Linked DNA regions of Struthio camelus. The protein of the gene in region 1 interacts with the protein of each later gene in a biochemical or structural test. Links are inferred from orthologs where the notes say so. Each region holds a gene or a part of one and is shown in the gene's direction. Other genes may lie near its edges.

Region 1 (9,679 bases):
TGCCTTACTTGTGCCTCGGCCGTAGCCACGTGGGCAGGGAGCCGTGCTGCAGCCGTGGGGCTTGTTAGGTCACATCTCTCCTACTTTCAGAGAGTTTGCCCTATAAATTAGATCCCGCTGGGTGGGTCTGTGCCGTAAAACGACCGGACTGTGGCTGTTGGGGTCTGCGCACGCCAAGTTCCTCGAGGCTGAGCTCTCTGCGGAGCCGATACTTTTGATGCTACCGCAGCTGCTTTAGGTGGCTGAGGCAGATGTCCGCATGTCCCGGAGGATCAGGCCTCCGGGATGAAGGGAACTGCTGGGGGAGGCTTTTTTGGAGAGGAGGGGCGAAGCGGCAAACATTTCTGTTCCCTACCTTCCCCCCACTTACTTAGTTCAGTTTAAATTGAACGTAGATCCAAACATCATATGGTTTAAATTTTACAGACTCAGACTTTGGCTTCCTTAGCCCATCCCTCGCTCAAAGGACCAACACTGAATGATGAGTGGGAACCACCCTTGTGTCTGTTGGAGCTCCATTTGGCACAGGCTGCAGTCACTAATGTGACTGCGAGCAGCCCTGCCCTCGCAGGAACAGCGCCCCGGGGACTTCTCTGCTGTCTGAGGAATGCTACAGCCCAATCTGCTCTGCACACACACCCCCTTGTGCTCCAGGGGAAGGTCAAGTTGATGCGGCTACAAGAGCTTTGAACTACCCAGTGATTCCTGCACTCGGGAGGAATCCCCAGCTGCTCTGTTAGCAAAGCAGCTGGAAAGAAAGGCTATAAATCTCGTCTGTACAGTTTTCCATGGGCTTTTCTGAACTGCTCGTTTCTGTTGACACTAAGACTGGCCAAAAAGCAGAATTTCTACCACTAGGAAATGCCGATGTTTTGTTTGTGGCTTTTCTTCTAAACTGAGGCAAAAAGTGAAAAGTGTAGAATTTTTGTCTGAATGAGCTATTCCGAAATACCTAATTCTATTCTGATCAAAATGTTATATTTTATCAGATATAAAGCGGACATGAAATGCTGTGACTGTATTGAACGTATAGGTAATTGCCTTCCAAAGCTGTTGAAGAACTCTGGGGCTTCTCCCCAAACATTTACATTCCACTAAGTGAGTGTTTTCCAGCCACCCATTCCCCGAGGGAATTTTGCACTGACACTACCGGACTTGTGCAGCTTCAGAGCTGGGGTAAGAGCCTGTTTCGCCTTCCCCCAGCCGACGGACGTGGCAGACTGTCGCCACACCGAAGGGCACGGCAGGTCTTGAGCTGCCACCCGCCCACCGACCCCTTTCCTCCACCCGCCCACTGACCCCTTTCCTGAGCGATGTCCTGAGTCCACTTGGTGACTTCCTTTCAACTGCCCTTTTTTATCATACAGCCCACCAGACGTTGGCAAGCAGTTCTTGTCGCTCTGCTCTTGCGGACCTGATGCTCAGTGCAGGAGAGAATGGCCAGAATCAGATTCTGCGACGAAATATTGCCAAATGGCTTGTACTGCAAGAGCTATTCTCCTCAATTCCCCCTAGTAAATCAGCCCCATAGCTCATAACTGCGGCTTTCCTAATGGATCTGGTCGTTCTCATCGTTTGCTGTCGCACACGCTCACTATTTGCAAGACTGTAAAGTTCAATGATCGTAAATTCTTAGGGAAAGAGCCGTTCCCGCTTCTGCCTCTGCCCAGCAGCTTGAACACAACTGTTCTATTATTAAGAGTAATAATTCGGGCAAATGTGTTTGGATTTTGCAGTGAATAAAATGCAAGTGGCCTCAGGAACAGGATCCATTAAACAAAACTCATTCACGCTTGCCAAGGAGATGCTTAAAAATAAATCTGTTTGGAGATGAATAGATGTTTTGTCGCAAAGCCACAGCTACAGTTTGAGGTCAGGACACAGATCGATTATTGGGCCCCAAAAGCATCCTCTTGCTTTACAAGAAGATTTTCCGAGTCTCGCGGAGCAATTCGATGTGGCTCATGCCGCGTTTTGAGGACCTCCCCGCTGAGGGGCAGGGTGCCGCCGCGCAGCCCCGGCCGGCTGGGAGAAGCGGGGAGCCTCCGGCCCCGCTGCGGCGCGCTGCAGCACGGCGCACGTAGGGCCTTAGACATCAGCCGGGGAGCTCTCTCCGCCGATGTTGACGTACATCAACGGCTACCGGTGATGTGTACACCTGACGGCAGTAACAAAGAAACCATATACTTATTTACTCCATTAACCTGACAGCGCTCTGGGTATAGTGATTGTCATTCTTTTTTTTTTTTTTTCCTGCTAAAGATCAGCAGGAAAGCAGGAAAATGCCTATGCACATCTTAAAATGATATTCTAACAAGCGATCAAGATGTGCTGTAATAAGCGAGACAGCAGAAATATCCAGTGATGCTTTTTAAATTTGCCGGTGACTTTTTATCTCTGTTTCAGCCTCGCTCTATAACCCTTCTCCCCTCTCCAGTACGGGTTTGATTGGTGCTGTTTAAAAGCGAACGGAAATAAAACATCTCAAGAAAAAAAGTTTCAGGTAAGACATTAAAACCCTGGGTTGGGTAAGAAGGATCTTGTTTTAGACTGTTTAATGAAAAATATTTTGACGGCAGTTGTCCTTCAGTCTCAGGAGTTTGAGTCTGATTCAAGAAAGCACTCAAGTGTGTTGAGTTGCTTAAACTCGAATGAGTTTAAATTGCATTATCGCCAATACCGGGTGTTTAATGTCAGTGTTGCGAGGGCACATTCCTGAATCAGAGCCCAGAAGATAAGGGGCTGGTTTTTGAGGGTATCTCTTTGCCATTCTAGATTTGCCCGTTGGTGTCTTCATCGAAGGAGCGACTGTGCCGCGGCTTTGGTACAGCGTGTTCGAAGGCACAGGGCTTTCTGCTGTTCGCCTTTGAGCGACTGGCCGGCCCCGCCAGAGATGCAAAACGCGATTGTGGGACAGCCCGCAGGAAAGGAGTTGATTGCAAAAGAGGAAAACAAAATCCAAATATGTATAAGTCATCATTGCATCTCAGCTTTGGGTCTGGATCCGGCAGAGGCTGAGTTCAACCGGTTCCCCCAGGGCCTGGGGCCGAGCCCGTCGCTCTCCCCGGGGCGCTGTTACCTGCCGGAGCAGCTCCCCGGGACTTGCCGGCGGCCGCCGGAGCGGGCGGGAGAGGAGCGCGTCCCCGGGCCTTCGCGCAGCCCGCCGTACCGCCAGGCAAGGAGCGAGCAGGCGCGCTGAACCGCAGCCCCTCGCTCTCCAGCAACCGCCCGCCGCTGCCGAGCGCCTGCCGGTGCCCGGCCCTCCGAGGCGCTGGGAGGGAAAGGGCTGGGCTTTTCCGGCCAAGCGCAGCTCCTACGGGGCCTTATCAGCCGAGGCGCTCCTGCCAGGGCAGGGCCCCGCGCGGCGCGGGCCGGGGTGATGGAGCCGCGGGGTGCGTGACTCCTCGTTCCTGGTGACTCATGGATTCGCTGGCCTTCAGCCGTGTCATGGGAAATATTTGTTTAATAACTTAACAAGAACAAGGCGGGGGGGGGGGCAGCCACATTGTTTTCTGAAACTCGTTAGCTTTTCAGATCGTTTCTACAGGGTCAGATCTCGCTGGGACTTGCGGCGTTTTCGAAAAGCCCCTCCTCGGTGGCTGCAAGGGCTGGCGGGGAGGGCTGGCCGGCGGGGCCACAGGCGGGCGGTTGGCTGCAGCGACCCAGCCAGCGGATTACTGTAGTCCGCCGCCGACCGAGCGCGCCTCATAAAACAGCGACACGGGTGGCAACCGACTGCTTCACCCAATTTCTTCCCGCAGGATAAAGTGACAGGGAACGATTCAGCGGGCTGCTAACGGGAGCTGGGGGAGGGCTGAGGCAGCGCTGCCCGGCAGCCTCGACGCCCGCCGCGGCGCCAGCAGGCCCCTGGGCAGGGGCCCAGAGCGCGGCGGGGCGCGGGCTCCGCGGCGCTCCCCCCGGCCCGGCCCGGCCCGGCCCCGCGGCCGCCTCGCGGAAGGGGCGCTGCTCGGGGCCGGGGGAAGCGCCGGGAGACTCCTCAAAACCCTCGCCGGGAGGAAGGTACTGATGAACGTGTTTCGGGCAAGCGAACGGAGGGAGCGGCGGGGCAACGGTCGCCTTCGTGCTGCGCGTTCGGCCCTCCGCTTCCCCTTAGCCGCTCGGCAGCACTTCTGCTCCAGGCGGGCCACTTCTCCAGGGCAGGAGGAACCGGCGCCGACTGAGAGCGGGGGCCTTCCCCACCACCCGTCGCCACCGTCCCCGCCGCGGCTGAGCCCGGCCGCGTTGCTCCAGCCTGCGAATTGGGGTGGCGGATCGCGCGACGGAGACGAGGACAGCCGCGCTGCCACCACCGCCGAGGGCGTAACCTGCGGCGGCCCAGGCGCTGCCACCCTCCCTGTCGGCCCGTCCCGGAGCCGGCGAGGACGGACGAGGCAGAGCGGCGCCCCGCTCGCGCGCGCCCGCCCGCCCACCCGCCGCTCCGGCCGCCCTCGCCGCTCCCCCAGGGCCTTACGGCCACACGTGGACTGGCTTTCTCTCTGCCTTTTTTTCTACGCTAAAGTTTTGCCACCTTTTAAAATATCAGGAGGACGGATTTTAAGCCGTCCTGCTATCGCCAGGCGTCTCTGCCGAGGATGAAGGGCTTAGGCGCGAGCGCGGAGCTGTGACAAAACAGCTTCGCTCCCCGCTATGTGCTGTTTGTTAGAATTGCCTAATAAAGCGAAGGGAAAATAGCCAGATTTTGACCACTCTGAAAACCCCTTGTCTCTCCGTCACCAGCTCTGGTTCCCGGTAATACGCTAGCGCTGGCAGCCCCGCCGCGGAGGGGCAGCCCGGAGGGCGAGGCGAAAGGCCCGGGCGAAGCCCCTCGCCGCGCCGCGCCGCCTCTGGGGCCCCGCGGCCCGGGCCGCCGCCGCCGCCCCCCCGGGGGGCCGGGGGCGCTGCCCCTGGCGTGACCGGCGGCGCCGCGCCCGCTCCGCGCCCGCGCAGCCCGGCTGCCCGCAGCCTTCTCCCTTTAAAAAAAAAAAAAAAAAAAAAAAAAACCACCACCCGAGGGGAGGGGCTGCTGCTTTTTTTTTCCCCTCCTATAAAGCCGTTTCCGGTTTGCTGCCATATTCCTCTTCCCCCCCCCCCCCCCCCGTGGGTCGTCCCCCCCCCCCCCCAACCAGAGAAGGGGTGAGCGGGGGCGGGCGAGGGAGCAGCGCGCCGGATCCGCGGCGCTCCGCGGTGCTGCCGGCGGCGCAGCCCTGAGCAGCCGGCCCGGCCCGGCCCGGCTCGGCGCGGAGCGCAGCGGAGCAGAGCGGCGCGGGGCTGCGGCGGCGGCGGCGGCGGCCCGGGCACCAGAGCGGCGGCGGCGGGTGGCGGCGGCGGCCGCGCCCCCGGCGCGGAGACAAAGCGGGGCCGAGCACGCGCCGAGGTGAGCGGGCTCCGGCGGCGGCGGCGGCGGCGGGGGGATGTCCGCAGTCCGGCTCGGGGGTCCGGCTGGAGACGCCGGGGCGGCGGCGGGGTCCGGCCGGGATGCTGCCGCTGCGGCCGGTGGCTCTGTGTCCGGCTGCGGATGGCCAGGTCCCTCCGGGCGGCTCTGGGTCCGGCCAGGTCGGGCGGCTGGCTATGGGTCTAGCTAGGTCTGGTCAGGTCCGGCGGGGTGCTTGTAGGTCCAGCTGGATCTGGGCGGCTCCGTCTGGGCGCCTCGGGGTCTGGGCAGGTCCGATGGGGCGGCTGTGGGTGCAGCTGGGCATGTCCAGGTCCATCTGGGCAGCTATGGGTCGGGCCACATCTGGCTGGGCGGCTGTGGGTCTGGCCAGGTCCGAGAGGACGGCTGTGGGGTCCAGGCAAGCTGCACCGCCTGCCCGCGATCCCCTTTGTTGTGTTTGGGGGCTGCGGGGGACCCCCGGGAGCGCAGGGCGGGGAGAGCGGGCTGTATGTAGGCCAGGACATGAAATATTCATCACCCCCCCTGCTTTGATGTCTCTTGATCCACTTCCCTCGTAGCGTTTGTTCACCGGTAATTCTGGGGGTCATGTCCAGCTCTGACGGACCCGGAGGACCCTGTTAGGCCAAGGCTGTTTTCTGTGCCCTTTCTCCTGGGCTGCCTGGGATCAGCCTGGTAGGAAGCTGCAGGGCCCTGGATTGCCTGATTAAAGGCTTTATCCAGCCTGGAAGTTCCCCTGTTGCAGCCGGGGTGATGCACCCCGATGGGCGTCTGCGAGCAGCTACGCTGCTGCGTCCCCACCGTCTCTATGACAGCCCCTGGCGCCACGGGAAAGCGCCGTAGCCCCGGGTGCCCGAGCCAAGCTGGAGCCGGGGTGGGCTTTCCTCCTTGCCTCGCTGCCTGCCATGCCGGGGAGGTGCCCACCGGCCGCGCTGCCGGGTCGCGGTGGGATGCGGGGCTCCCGCGCGTGCCGGCCGCAGGGCGAGCTGCGGGGCTGGGGCCCGCGGGAAGCGAGGCGCGCGTGGGGCGAAGGAGGACGCGGCGTGTCTGGGCGCTGACTGTGGCGTGCTCGTGTCTGGTACCGAACGGTCTCTCGGAGAACTTTTGTGCAGCCTCCTGCAAAATCATTTCCGCTGCGTTTCTGCTGCGTTTCTGCGTGCGCTTCGCCGGCCGCGTGCCTTGCGCTCTTCCCCCGTCACCCTGCCCTTCTCCTGCCTTGTCCCCTCGGCCCTGCTGCACCAGGGCTCAGCCCTGCTGCTGTTGGAGCGGATGTGACCGTCGGTCCCCGTGCTGGCCCCCTCCCTCCGTTGCTGTGAGAAGTCTTAGGGCTTCTGAAGCCGCTCCTGCTGGGGTGTTGTGACCCGTTATTGCGGTCATCCTTGAGGTCCTGTCCCCATGCGCCGCGCGAGCTCTGGCTTGTGCCTGGGGACGGCGCTACCTGCGCAGCGGGAAAGGGACAGGAAAGCACACGTTCAGCAGCGCTGCGTGCAAACCCAGCCGCGCGAGCCTGGCAGGGAAAGGGTTGGTGGGGGTTTTCTCCCTCCTCCCAGCCTGGTGCTCCCCAGAGGAGAAGGTGTAGAACAGGCAGGAAGCTGAAGCGTGTGTGCAGCTTTTCTCTAACCTGCTGAGGTGCCCGCAGGCAGCAGTGACTAGCGCCCAGGCGTGAGTACTAGGTCATGACAAACTCCCAGAGACCAGCGCTCGATGCTGGGAAAGCCGCTCGTCTCTGCCAAGCTCCGAGTTCCCCGCCGGCCCGCGGTGACTCTACGAGTGCCGAAGCCCCCGCGTAGGGCACGGGGCGGGCTCGGACCTGGGCTGGCCGCGCTCTCCTGGGGAGGCGTGAGGGCCGCAGACGGCTTTGCCGGCGCGTGCCCCCCACCAGAGATGTGACTGTTTGGGATCTCCGGGATCAGGCGTGTGTGCTCCCTCCCGAGGGAATTGTCTCTGCAGTCCTGAGCTCGTTTTTCAGAGGAGGGCACCTTTGCTTACAATACAGGGGTCAGTGTCCACCTCCAGGTTTTGACCCGGGAGTCCGAGAGCAGAGACTCACCCTTTCACCTTACAGTCAGTAGCTCCACTGAAACGCAGCCTGGTGATTTGGGAGCCTGGGTTATTTATGGGCTGACACAGTCGCTCAGGGAAGTCCAATGTTCCCTGTCTAGATCGTTAGTGGCCTTGCAGTGCTCCCTGTGTGATGGAGATGCTCTAATGATATCTCTGCCCTGTAACGATTTTGTCCCAGAGTGATGGAAAATCATCTAGGTACCGTGGGGAGAGAGAAAGGAGCGTCCAAGTACCGAGCTAGAGAGCTGGGAGGTGGAAGATGAAAGGGAAGAGCTGCAGTTTGCAGCGACCAAAGTACGTGGAGGCTCTGCTGGGGGGACAAGAAGCTCTGTTGCCCCATGGAGGGGACGTCAGCAGTCACGCAGCCTCCCCGAGGCGGGGGCTGGCGGGTATGTATGCACTCTGGACCCCCCAAGGGTTTTGGTTTGTTTTGGGTTTTTTTGCAGAGTCGGCTCTCTGTGCGTCCCTGTGTGCATTTTGGGGGAAGTGGCGTCTGTTCAGTGGGTTCGCCCTGGGCCAGGAAGGCTGGACGGGACCGTGGGGCTCCTGCGCGTCTGAAACCGCGTCGGTCCTTCCTGCTGCGCTAGCTGCTCTGCTGAGATGTTGTCCTTGCCTGCCAATCTCCCCTCGGGGTCCCTGGCTCCCTGTGGCAGTCGCGTTCGTGGGTGGCGTGAGGGCTTTCGGCTCTTTCACGAGGGGTTTGCTCAGCCTGGCTCGCTGGAGCCCTCTGATCCGTCCGAGCGTCGCTTTGCAGGTTTGGCAGCGCAGAAGCGCCAGGAAGGAAAGCTGCCGTGTGGCACCGAGGTGGCAGGAGCCACTTCTGCTCCCCGAGGCGGGTGGTGGCATGGGCTGGGGAGACAGCCCCATCCCCAGGCCCTGCTGGGGCTACCGCCGATAACGGGATTAAGTCTGGCCTTTGAGTCACTCAACTCTTTTCTAATGAGACTTGAAAGACTTGGCCCATAATGTCTTATTTTAACCACCGACAAATACGTGGAGCGAGATAAAAGGTTGAGCAAGCCCTGGGCTGAAGCAAACAACTTCGGCTCCATAATCTTTTAGTCTGTGTTTCCTTGCAGCATGTGTAAGGCAAAAGAAAAAAAGGAAAAAAAAAAAGAGCATTGCTCCTATGAAGTGCTGTGTTCTTGGCATCACTAGGGGAAATTTGAAAGACTATCTAAAGCTCTATTGTTTCCTGTACTGTCTATTTTGCAGCTTGGTTTCTAACTTGTTCCTTTATCTCTCAGAACAATTTCCCATATGACCTCACTTCCTCAGCACTTTGCGTCTCATCTTGGAGCCCGACTGGAAATTCGTCCAGTGCAAAGGGCTGGAAAAGGCTTCGGCTGGTGCGAAACGGCCGGCGCAGAGCGCGCGTGCCCGGACCGTGGGCCGCGATGCTCTGCCCAGGAGCCGTTCCTTTAATTCGATGCCCTAAAACCAGCTTAAATCTCTTTGCGTGGAAATAACCATCCTTGTAATGCTCTTCATGTGACTCGGGCTCAGACTGTCACTGTTTCCATTCCAGCGTAGTCCTGTTTTCTAAGGCTTGTAACTCCGGGTCGTTGAGAATAATTCCCTCTGGGCTCGCGTTTTGCCGAAGTCTCCGACTATGAGCAAAAACGTGGAATGTGTTGTAGTGCTATTTTAAAGCAAGCTTCGGAAAGAAAGTAATGACTTTGGTCCTGGATGTTTTAAGTTGGCGGTGAGCCACGAGATAGTCCGCTTTAGGAGAAAGGAGCAAGTAATTGACTGAGCGTGGCTAAATCAGAGCTGGCTTGAGCCGACGTTCGAGCGTACCCAGGCCCTAATCCTTGCTTTTGCTCCGTGCTGGCCCGACTGCCCGTCGGTGCAAGGCCCCGAGCAGGACTGGGTGCAAAGGGAACCAGCGATGCTCTGCGCCTGCCTCTGTTCAAAGCACGATTTGAAGATAAAGCCCTGAAACAGGCACAAATGTGATTTGAACATAGGCCAGGACCCAGCACCTGCAAATCTGCACCTTGCACTGATTCCTCTTGGGTCTAGGTATGTCCTCACTGTCCCCTACTTCCCACCAGGAAGGGAGGGCGACGCGGGGTCGGGAAGCGAGTCCGGGACGTGCCGGGGGTCGGCGAGGCGGCTGTGCCTGCCCGCTGCGGGTTCCTGGAGCGTGCCTGGCGTCCTGGGCGCGATTCGGGGCGTTGCACCTCGCAGCGCGGAGCCGCGGCCCAGGGGAAGGGGCAGCTC
Region 2 (9,388 bases), on another chromosome or scaffold:
CTTGAGAGGGACTCGCCTTGAGGGGTCTCAGCCATGATCGTAACTTTTGTTTCTTTAGTGGAAATCCCTGTAAAGTTCAGTGTGTATGGTGCACCCGTTGGCAGGTGTTTGTGGCCTGGGTGCTAGGTGCTGGGAGTGGGAAGGGAAAGGGAAGGTTTTCTTGCCGTACTCTGAGGATTTTCCAGGGACTGGCACATTAATGCAGGAAAAAGCATTGACAAACAAATGGTGCTCCCTTCTGAGAGGCTGAGCCTGGACAGTTTATCAGCTTCATGAAACCATTTCCCTCCTTTTTCTTAAGCTTGAAGAATCCTAAGACAAAAGAAATCCAACTGGCTGTCAGTGTGCGCAATGGTGTATGCATGCGCGAGATGCGCGTGTCCCCTGTGCCTGTTCATCTCCTTCCGTAGACGTACAGTGTCTGCCTGTAGGGTCGCTCCTCTCTGTTCGTGCTTTCTGTGCATGTGCAAATCTAGAGTGTCCTTTTTTTGAGCTGTGCGTGCTGGTGCCCTCCTTGTTCAGTAGTGAGCATTGTCTAGCTTGGACAGGCTGCTTAAGACCAGATCCTTAGCTCTCCTATGGGTGCCTTGCTGTCCGTGTGCCGGCTGCAGGAGCTTCCCGTCAGGTTGCCTCACTGCCACCCCCTCCCCTTTTTAAAGAAAAACAAAACAAAACAAATGAGGAACCGACTTCACTCCTGGAATCCAGGCTTTTGTCTTGAGCCCCTGGGGTTTATGAAAAGAGAAAAGAGACCTGGGGTGGGTGGGGGGTTGGGGGGAAATGCCACAGAGCGGAGATGCACATCAGTGAGAGCAGGCACCGTGCCTGGCTGGAAGGAGACCAGGCCACGGGGAAATGCAGTGATAATACCACGGGGTATTATTCTTGCAGGAATCTGATTTTGGAGCGACCCACAACTTGAGGCAGACTACTTAGGGTCCGAGCTGCAAGGAGCTGGGTGTCTGCGAGCTGGTTGTGCTCTGTACCTCCTGGGGACACTCAGCACTTCACAGGCTCTGACAGTGGAGTGTGGGCTTGGAAACAAATGTCCATCTTTTTGATATACATATATAAATATCTCATAATCTGGAAGTGGCTGTGTATAACTTGTGGGGTGGGGGGAACTGCATGAATTTTATTTTAGTTAAATAACCAATCAGGGTGAAGTAGAGTTGATTTGACGGTTGTCTACAGCTGGGCTTAGCAAAAATGGAAGTAGCTGAGGACTGAATCTGTAGCGCTGATTGCAACACTGAAGGCATTCTTGGAAGTATCAGTTGTTTGTTGGTTAGGTCAGTATCTATGGTATATAACTGAAGCCATAACTTTTAACTGGAGTGGTTTTGATTATTTTTTTTATTTTATGGGAGGGTCTGGATTTTAACTTTTTTTAATATTGTTAATTCTTTATAAGAGAAGAAAAACAATCTATAATTATTACCTCTCAACCTCTTTGTTTGTAAAGAAATCACTGCAAAAAAGGAAAAAAAACCAAATGCACACAGCTCGATTTACACTGGAACTGTTTCTACTCAAACCTTGAGCCTGCTCTGTAAGGTGAGGTTTAATCTCTGCTCCGGCCATCGGGGTTAAGTTTTTTTTTCTTCTTCTTCTTCTTTTCTTTTCCTCTTTTTAAACACTCTGTTCTTGCTGTCTGTATATCTGTCTGTGTGTCTGCCTTCTCCCAGACCCCCTCTCTTGTCTGTGATTTTTATCTGTGTCAAGTGCGAAGTGTTTTTTGCATCATGTTTGGAGCCATTTTTGCATTCTCCCGTGGATTTTTAACTGTCAGGCAGTGCAAAGCTGTCTTGGGAGGGTCTACAGACTTCAGACTGATTCATGGAGCTGTGTGGAGTATACGCTTTGTGAATGTACAGCTTCCCTTCCCTTTCCGATTTGTTCTGACTTGTTTCTCAGCCAGAGGTTACCATGCATCTCCAGTACCGTATATTCCTTTACCAAACCCTTCTGCATTTAGGAACCTTGGGTGGTGGGCACTTCACAGATACCCAAAAGACTCTTCAGCTGCTGTAACAGGACCCTTGCGATGGCCCTTCCCAAGAGGTTGGGGAGGAAGTCCTAGCGACTGTGAAATAAACTGCCATAGGAAAGCCCATCACGCTGGTAGGTACGTCTGCCGCGTGCTCTTCCGCGAGCGTTACGGATTCTTGTTTCCAAGCGCGAGTCTCCTGTTCCTGTTAACTGTGCAGGCTGCTTCTTGAGGACACTAAAATCAGCTATGTAACTTGCACTGATTCACTCGCCCGCTCCTCCTACTGTAGCCACACATGCACCTGCCTCAATGCTATACCAAACAGCAGACAGCGGAGCAGTATCGGACCGGATGGGGTTGGAAGGGGCGAGGGCAGGACGGCAGAGCGTCCCCTCTAAGGAGGACCGTCAAACAAGCCTTGTTTGTAGAGACAGATGCCATCGCAGTACGGTCAAAACAGAGTAGGATCCGAGATGGGAACGCTAACTATGTAGCATTTATACAGCACTTTTCATGCAAACGTGTGCCAGTGAGGTGCAGCGGTTACTTAGCTGACCGGTAGCAAACATAGGAATCGCTGCCCAGCTCAGAGGTGGCTGCAGCAGCTGTCACAGGATGCAACACTACAGGCAGTTCAGGACGCGACCGATGCCACATCAGTTCAAATCGGGGAGCAGGAGGCTTCAGCTCTTTGGGAGAAGATTGCTGGGGAGAGGCAGAGATACAGACCTTGTGCTTCTCGCCTGTGGCACAGGGCTCATCAGTGGTACGCTGGCTTCAGAACAGATCTCTTGGTACTTATCTGCCCCTTTTATTTGTTTGGTTTTGTACATTTTATTAGAAATGGACTGTAAAATAGCCACTTAGACACTTTACCTCTTCAGTATGCAAATGTAAATACGATGTAATATAGGAAATCTTTTGTTTAATATAAAACAAGGCTGTCAATTTCTGCTGTACATTATTAAAAGTTTGTTTTATTCACGGAAGGTGTCGAAGTCTTTCCTGTTGGCTGCGGGGGATGAGCGCGCCGCGGAGGGGTAGGACCCGAGCAGCGGGCTGGCGCGGGGAGCCCAACCAGGCGTCGCAGGGCAAGACCTGAGCGGCGCTCTGCTTCCTCGGAGCAGGCTTGGCGGAGGGGTCTCCCCTGGCGGGAGTGCAACGCTGGGGGTGACTGAATCCAGGATCTTTAGGTTAGAGCTGGCAGTGCTTTAGTATATCTGAAGCATCTGTTGTTTGTCACCAGAAGGGACCGGAGCCGTTTCGGGTCAGCTCCATCCCTCTGTCTTGACTGGTGACGCTGAGGTAAAGCTCAGACTTCTGTCCCCGGTGGAGGTTATAGTCTTACAAAGCCTAGAGACGTGTTTGGGGAGCTTGTTTGGTCGTGAGCAGGCTGCAACTAAAATAATCTGCCCAGGGCTCTCGCCCAGCAAACCTTCATTGCTTTAAACATTCCCCTTCTCGGTGGGGATGCAGCTTCCGTGGGTCTGCTGTGTCTTCCCGAGACACCTTTGCTCCGGCACAGGCGAGCCCACCATGTGGCAGGGCACAGTTTAAAGCTCGGTGCACAGGGATAAAAAGCTACGCTCAAAAGCGCTCCCTCTCCGGCGACGGTAATTGGAAGCAGGAGGGTGTCCTGCAGGAGGTTCTCCAGAACAACCCCCTCGGGCTGCCAGCTCTGCGCAAACCAGCGCTTTCAAAGGAGGAGGAATTTTAGTCTGAACTGCTGAGCATCCCTACGAAATCCTATTTGCTCGGAGGGTAGCCGGTGCTGCTCCAACTGCCTGGGCTAATTCTCCCTAATTAGAGCCTCCTGTGCGTGAGCGAGCATGTTGTGGAGGGATAAAGGGGAAAATCCGCTGTGCCCGAGCTGGGGCCTGGGCTACCCCGTGGGCTCAGACTAATGGAATTAGCCGGCTGCTGGCGAGGGGCAGCTGCCATCTGCCTTTAGCTGTGTTTGCACTTCCCCACCGCGCTCCCGGGGGCTCAGCGTGCCGCTCAGGGCGAAACCAGACCCCCATGCTGTAAAACGAGGAGACGGGTGAGTGGGGGGGGGGCTTTTTCTTTTTTTTTTTTCTTTTTTTTAAGGCAAAGTTTGCCTCCTTTTCCATGTGGCCACCTGGAAGAGGGGCAGTCGGAGGGGACAGCCGGGGTCTGGGATCTCTTGGGACGGGGCTGAAGTCTTGGGTGCCAGATTTCTGGAACAAGATGGGGCTCTTCTTGCTGTTTTCCTTGATAAAGGGAGGTGGCTCGACGCCCCGAGTCCTGCCTGCCCGTCCCTAAGCGCTTTCGAACCAGACAAGTTCAGCTCTGGGAGCGAACTTGTCTCCTGGTAACCCCCGGACAGGCTGTGGGCGGGTGGTTTGGGTGTAACGCAGTCAGGATTTTTTTTTTTTTGGCAAATTTTAAATAAACAGCTGGGCAAACCCCTGAATTCCAGCTGCTGTGTCCTGGAGCGAGGCTTTGTCGGCTGCAGGCTTTGCAGAAACGGGCTGCTTCTGCCCTGTGCAAAAAAGCAAACGGACCTCCAGCCGAAACAGCCCCGTCGCCTTCTCCAAGGCGCCCTTCCCTGTACCTCTCCGTCCCGAACGCGCGTCGGGCTTTGCAGCCGACGGTTAAAATCCCTTCCCTGCCCCGGCGGGACCCAGGGCCGAGGCTCTGCCTCGAGCGAAGTCCTAAACGCCCCCCCGGGTGCCCTTCGCCTGCGGCGAGACCCGGCGCAATTTCCCCCCCAAAGCCCCCGCAGGAAAGCGGCCTGAGAAAGCAGCGGCCGGAGGATGCTCGGGGGGGGGGGTTTGGGGTTGTCCTTCCAGCTCGGCCACTCGTCGCGGGACGAGCTGCTGCGCGGCGCCGGCCGACGACGCTTCGGGGGCCGATGATGCTTCGGGGGCCGACGCGGCAGGTGAAACCCGGCGGCTTCGCCGGCCGCCCGCAGCTCCCGGCTCCGGGGCCGCTCGCGAGTCACCGGCTTTGCTCCCTGCTGAAAACTAAACCCAGGCGGCGCCGGGGGGACGCTCGGGCTCCGGGCCGGTTCGGGGGGGGCGGCTGCCGGGCCGCCGGCTCTCCCCCCCTCCCCGTGCCCCCCAACGCCCTGCGGCCCCACGGTGTGATGCCCCAGGTGCCCCGACGCCCCCTGCACCCCCTGCTCCCCGATGCCCCATAGTCCCCCCATGGCCCCCGATGCCCCCCGATGCCTCAATGCCCCCTGCTCCCCCCATGCCCCCTGATGCCCCCCTGCTACCCCGATGCCCCGACCCCTCCGCTTCCCCAATGCCCCATTGTCCCTCCATGGCCCCGATGCCCCCCTGCTCCCCCCATGCCCCCTGAAGCCTCGATGCCCCCCGCTCCCCCCATGCCCCACAGTTCTACCCATGCCCCCCGATGCCCCTCTGCTCCCCCAATGCCCCCCAATGCCCCAACACCCCCCCGCTCCCCCCATACCCCCTGCTCCCCCGATGCCCCCCTGCTCCCCCGATGCCCCCCGATGCCCCGACACCCCCCCGCTCCCCCAATGTCCCATAGTCCCCCCCGATCCCCCCCGATCCTCCTCAGCCCCCCCCCGATGCCCCTGTGCTCCCCCCGGCAGCTGGACGGGGGCGGGGCTAGCCCGAGAGGCGGGGCCGAGCCGTCGAAGTGGGCGGGGGCTCATCCGAGTGAAACGGGGCGTGGTTTGCGCTGGGGGAGTGGGCGTGGTCCCGACCGGTGTGGGGGCGTGGCCTTGCCTAGCACCGCCCCCCCGCGCCCGCCCCCGGGGCCCTTATAGCGGCGCGCCGACGGCCCCGCGCCCGGCCATGACCCTGCGGCGGCGGCGGCGGCTCCTGCCCGAGGAGGAGGCGGCGGCGGCGGCCCCCCCGGGCCCGGTGCCTCCCCCCGACGTCTACCGGGCGCTGGCGGCGGCCGGCGGCACCCTGCCCCGCGTGCGCAAGGTGGGTGGCGGGGGGTCCCGTCGGGGCGCACCGGGCGCGTCGCTGCCGCCGCCGCGGCTCCTTCCTTCCTGCGGCCTCCGGGGCTTTTGGGACCGGAGCCGCCGCGTGTCCCCCCCCCACGACGGGGCTCCGCGCGCAGGGCTTGGCGGAGGTGGGTGGGAAACCCGCTCATCGGTGCGATGAATGCGGCCGTTCTCGGCCGGGCGCGGCGGCACCCCCCCCCCCCCCCTCCGTCCCCAATCCCGCCCGGTGCCGTCGGGTCGCCGCCGTCCTGCTCCGCGCTGCCGGCGCCGCGCCGCGATAAGGGGGGGTTGTTTGGGCCAAGGCGGGGGGGGTGAGTTTTGCATTTAAAAAAAAAAAAACCACACACGCACACACAAAAAACAACAAAAAAAGGCTTTGTGCTTAAAAACAGGGCCCCTCTGTCGCAGGGCACCGGCCGCGGCCTGACGTCAAAGCGTGGGGCGAGCGCGAGGCAGAGGCGAGGGCCGCTGTGATTGCGGATAAGAGCCTCCTTATACCCGGCGGGGACGGCTGGCGGGGTCGCATGGCGGGGGGGGGGTTGGCTGCGGGACACCCCGTCGGGGCCGGTCCCCCGGCGAGGGGGAGGACGTGCTGCGGGACGGAGTCGCCCGCTAACGCCTCTGGTCCGCCGCAGGGCGCCGGGTGCAGGCGGAGGTCGCCCGGGGAGTCCCCGCAGGAGCGCAGGTGGGTACCGCTGCCCTTGGCCGACGCTTTGGGCTCTGGCCGGCCGCAGCCCCCGGCCGCCGACGCTTCCCGTCTGCGGCTCCCAAGAGCCGGGGCCGCGGGGGAGCAGAGCCGCCCCGAAAGTCTCTGCGTGAACTTTGTTTTGTGCTTTAACCCAAAGCTGGGGAGAGCAGGGGCGATTCGCTGTAGCGGCCCGGGACCCCCGCGGGGACGCGGGTGAACGCGCACCGGGGCAGGTTGCAGGGACGAATCCCCCCCCCCCCCCCGGGGCCGGGGGCTGCCGCCGGGCTCGGGGCCAGCAGCAGCGCAGTGGGGGGGGGGGGACCCCAAACCTCAAAGCGGGTTTTCATTAGAAAAGCACCACAAGTCTTGGAGGGGCGGATGAGGGGGCTGCCCCCCCCCCGGAAACGTCTCCGGCGTGTCCCTAACGCCGCTTTCCCACCCGCAGGAGGGTGGTGACGCTGGAGAAGAAGGCGGAGGAGGCGTTCGGCTTCGAGATCCAGGTCAGCGGGGCGCCGGGGGTCCTCGCCCGTGCCCCCCGCCCGGCACCTCGCTTCTGCACCGAGGGTGTTTTTAAAAGCGCCTCCGAGCCAGGGTTTATTTTTAACGCCGGCGAAGCTGCGTGGTTCCCGAAGCCTCGCGGCCGCCGCGCGCCCCGGTCGGGGGCTGCGGCCGTCTGGTGCCGCGGGGTGCAATTTGGGGAGGGGGGGGGACCACCCGGCGCCCCTCACCCGGCTGCTCCTTTCAGACCTACGGGCTGCACCACCAGGAGAAGAACAGCGTGGAGATGTTCACCTTCGTGTGCCGGGTGCACGACGGCAGCCCGGCCGCCGCCGCGGGGCTCCAAGCCGGTGAGCGCGTCCGTCCGTCCCGGGGGAGCAGGGGGGGGACCCAGGCGTCCGGGGCCACTGGTCCGCGGGAGCTGAGCCTCGTCCCTGCCGGCGGCGGCCGCTCGCTGGGGCAGGTGACACCATCACGGGGGTGAACGGGCTGAACGTGGAGGGCGTCCGGCACCGGGAGATCGTGGACATCATCAAGGGCTCCGGCGACCTGCTCAGGTGAGATGGTTTTGGGGGGGGGGGGGGACACCTGTCCTGTCCCCGTCCCCGTCCCGCCGCCAGCCCACGCTCACGGGCTCTGCCCCGCAGGCTCGACACGCTCTACGGGACCGCGGTGCGGCGGGCCGAGCTGGAAGCCCGGCTGCAATACCTGAAGGTGAGGCGGGAGCGGGGGGGATACCGGGGGTGGGGGGGGTGGGATGCAGGGTTCCCCCCCCCCCGCCGCCCCGTCCCCAATGCACGGGGTCCCCTCCGCAGCATCCTCTCCCGCTCGCAGCAAACCCTCTACGAGAAGTGGGGCGAGTACCGCTCGCTGATGGTGCAGGAGCAGCGGCTGGTGCGCGGTGAGTGGGGGGCGCCGGGGGGGGGGAGCGGGTGGCAGCCGAGGGGGGGCCACCAGCAGCCCCCTGACGCCTGTGTGTGTGTCCCCCCCCCCGACCTCGGCCAGGCGTGGTGGCCAAGGACCCCAGCATCTACGCCACGCTGGAGGCGCTGCGCTGGTGCCTGCGGGGCGCGGGGCTGCCCGGCGGCGGCGGCTCGCCCCGGCTCAGCGCCGGCAGCGACGACTCGCTCTACCAGACGTGCGTCTTCGACACGCCGGAGGGCGACGGCGATGCCGGGGCCGGGCCGGCCTTGGCCCGCAGCGCCAGCCTGCGCGGGACCCCCGGGGACGGCGCGGCCGCCCCCCTGCCCCCCCGCAAGGGCAAACGCAGCAGCTTCCGCCGGCGCCTGCTCAAGTTCATCCCGGGACTGAACCGCTCGCTGGAGGAGGAGGAGAGCCAGCTCTAGGGCGCCCGGCCGCCCGGCCTATTTATTTATTTATTGCAAGGGCTGCTGAGCCCTGCTGCCGGGGCTCGGGGTGCACCCTCGTCCCCCCCCAACCGGGGACGGCTGCCGGCTCGGCCCGCGTCGGGGCGATCGCGCCGGGCGGTGGGACCGCTGCTCGGCCCGGCCGCGGACTTTTCTTTTTTCCCCCCTGGAAAAGCCGCTGTTTTATCTCAGGAAAACTCCCCCTTCCTCCCGCGCCAGCAGCGCTGCCCGGCTGCGGGGGTCCGGCGCTCCCCCCCCCCTTCGCCCTAATACAGAGACTTTTTGCACCCGCTTGTGGCTGCGACTCATCCGGGGTGGCAGGGAAGGGACATGGGGGCGGGCTGGCCCTGGTGGCACCAGGTCCTTCCCTGGGGCAGGGGGCTGGAGTAGGGCCTCGGCCCCCCCGGCAGGGGCTCTGGGCTCCCTCATCCCCCCTGACTTTCCCTCTTTGCTGCCCCGTGTGGGGCTGTGCCCCCCTCCCTGGTCTCTGGGTTTTGGGGGCTGTTTTGCCCCCCAAAGGCAGGAAAAGCAGCTGTTAAGCACAGGGCTGGTGCACGGGGGTCGCCTGCCCCTTTGCACCCTGGCGCAGGGGGGGAAGTGGGGCTCGTGCTGTGGTGCCAGCTCCTGGGCGCGTGGGCAGCCCTGCAGCGCGCCGGCTCCCTGCTGCAAGCGTGAATGCACGCGCAGCCCTGCAGCTCGTCGCATCCCTAGTGCAAACGTGAATGCACGCGCAGCCCTGCAGCTTGCTGCATCCCTAGTGCAAACGTGAATGCACGCGCAGCCCTGCAGCGCGCTGGCTCCCTACTGCAAACACGGGAGCGGGGTGGAGGTTGCTGGTGCCAGGCTGCGCGGTCCCCGCTCTGCTGTTTGCCTCCTCGGGGTTGCATCCTGCT

What was found.
Region 2: of the proteins of SRC (region 1) and TAMALIN, one has a biochemical effect on the other in vitro, tested with the Homo sapiens proteins (2 studies listed by BioGRID and IntAct, with this or other methods). The link is inferred for Struthio camelus from reciprocal best matches to the Homo sapiens genes SRC and TAMALIN.

Annotation. Positions count from the first base shown.
Region 1 is NC_090959.1:7,546,362-7,556,040, forward strand, and holds the start of SRC (proto-oncogene tyrosine-protein kinase Src), read left to right. Parts: upstream 1-5,448; 5' UTR 5,449-5,475; coding exon 5,476-5,553; intron 5,554-6,971; exon of another isoform or gene 6,972-7,051; intron 7,052-7,631; exon of another isoform or gene 7,632-7,791; coding exon of another isoform or gene 7,792-7,842; intron 7,843-9,679. UniProt on the Homo sapiens protein: Non-receptor protein tyrosine kinase which is activated following engagement of many different classes of cellular receptors including immune response receptors, integrins and other adhesion receptors, receptor protein tyrosine kinases, G protein-coupled receptors as well as cytokine receptors.
Region 2 is NC_090969.1:1,127,056-1,136,443, reverse strand, and holds TAMALIN (protein TAMALIN), read left to right. Parts: upstream 1-5,784; coding exon 5,785-5,919; intron 5,920-6,577; coding exon 6,578-6,627; intron 6,628-7,075; coding exon 7,076-7,130; intron 7,131-7,375; coding exon 7,376-7,478; intron 7,479-7,591; coding exon 7,592-7,685; intron 7,686-7,775; coding exon 7,776-7,842; intron 7,843-7,962; coding exon 7,963-8,029; intron 8,030-8,133; coding exon 8,134-8,474; 3' UTR 8,475-8,782; downstream 8,783-9,388. UniProt on the Homo sapiens protein: Plays a role in intracellular trafficking and contributes to the macromolecular organization of group 1 metabotropic glutamate receptors (mGluRs) at synapses.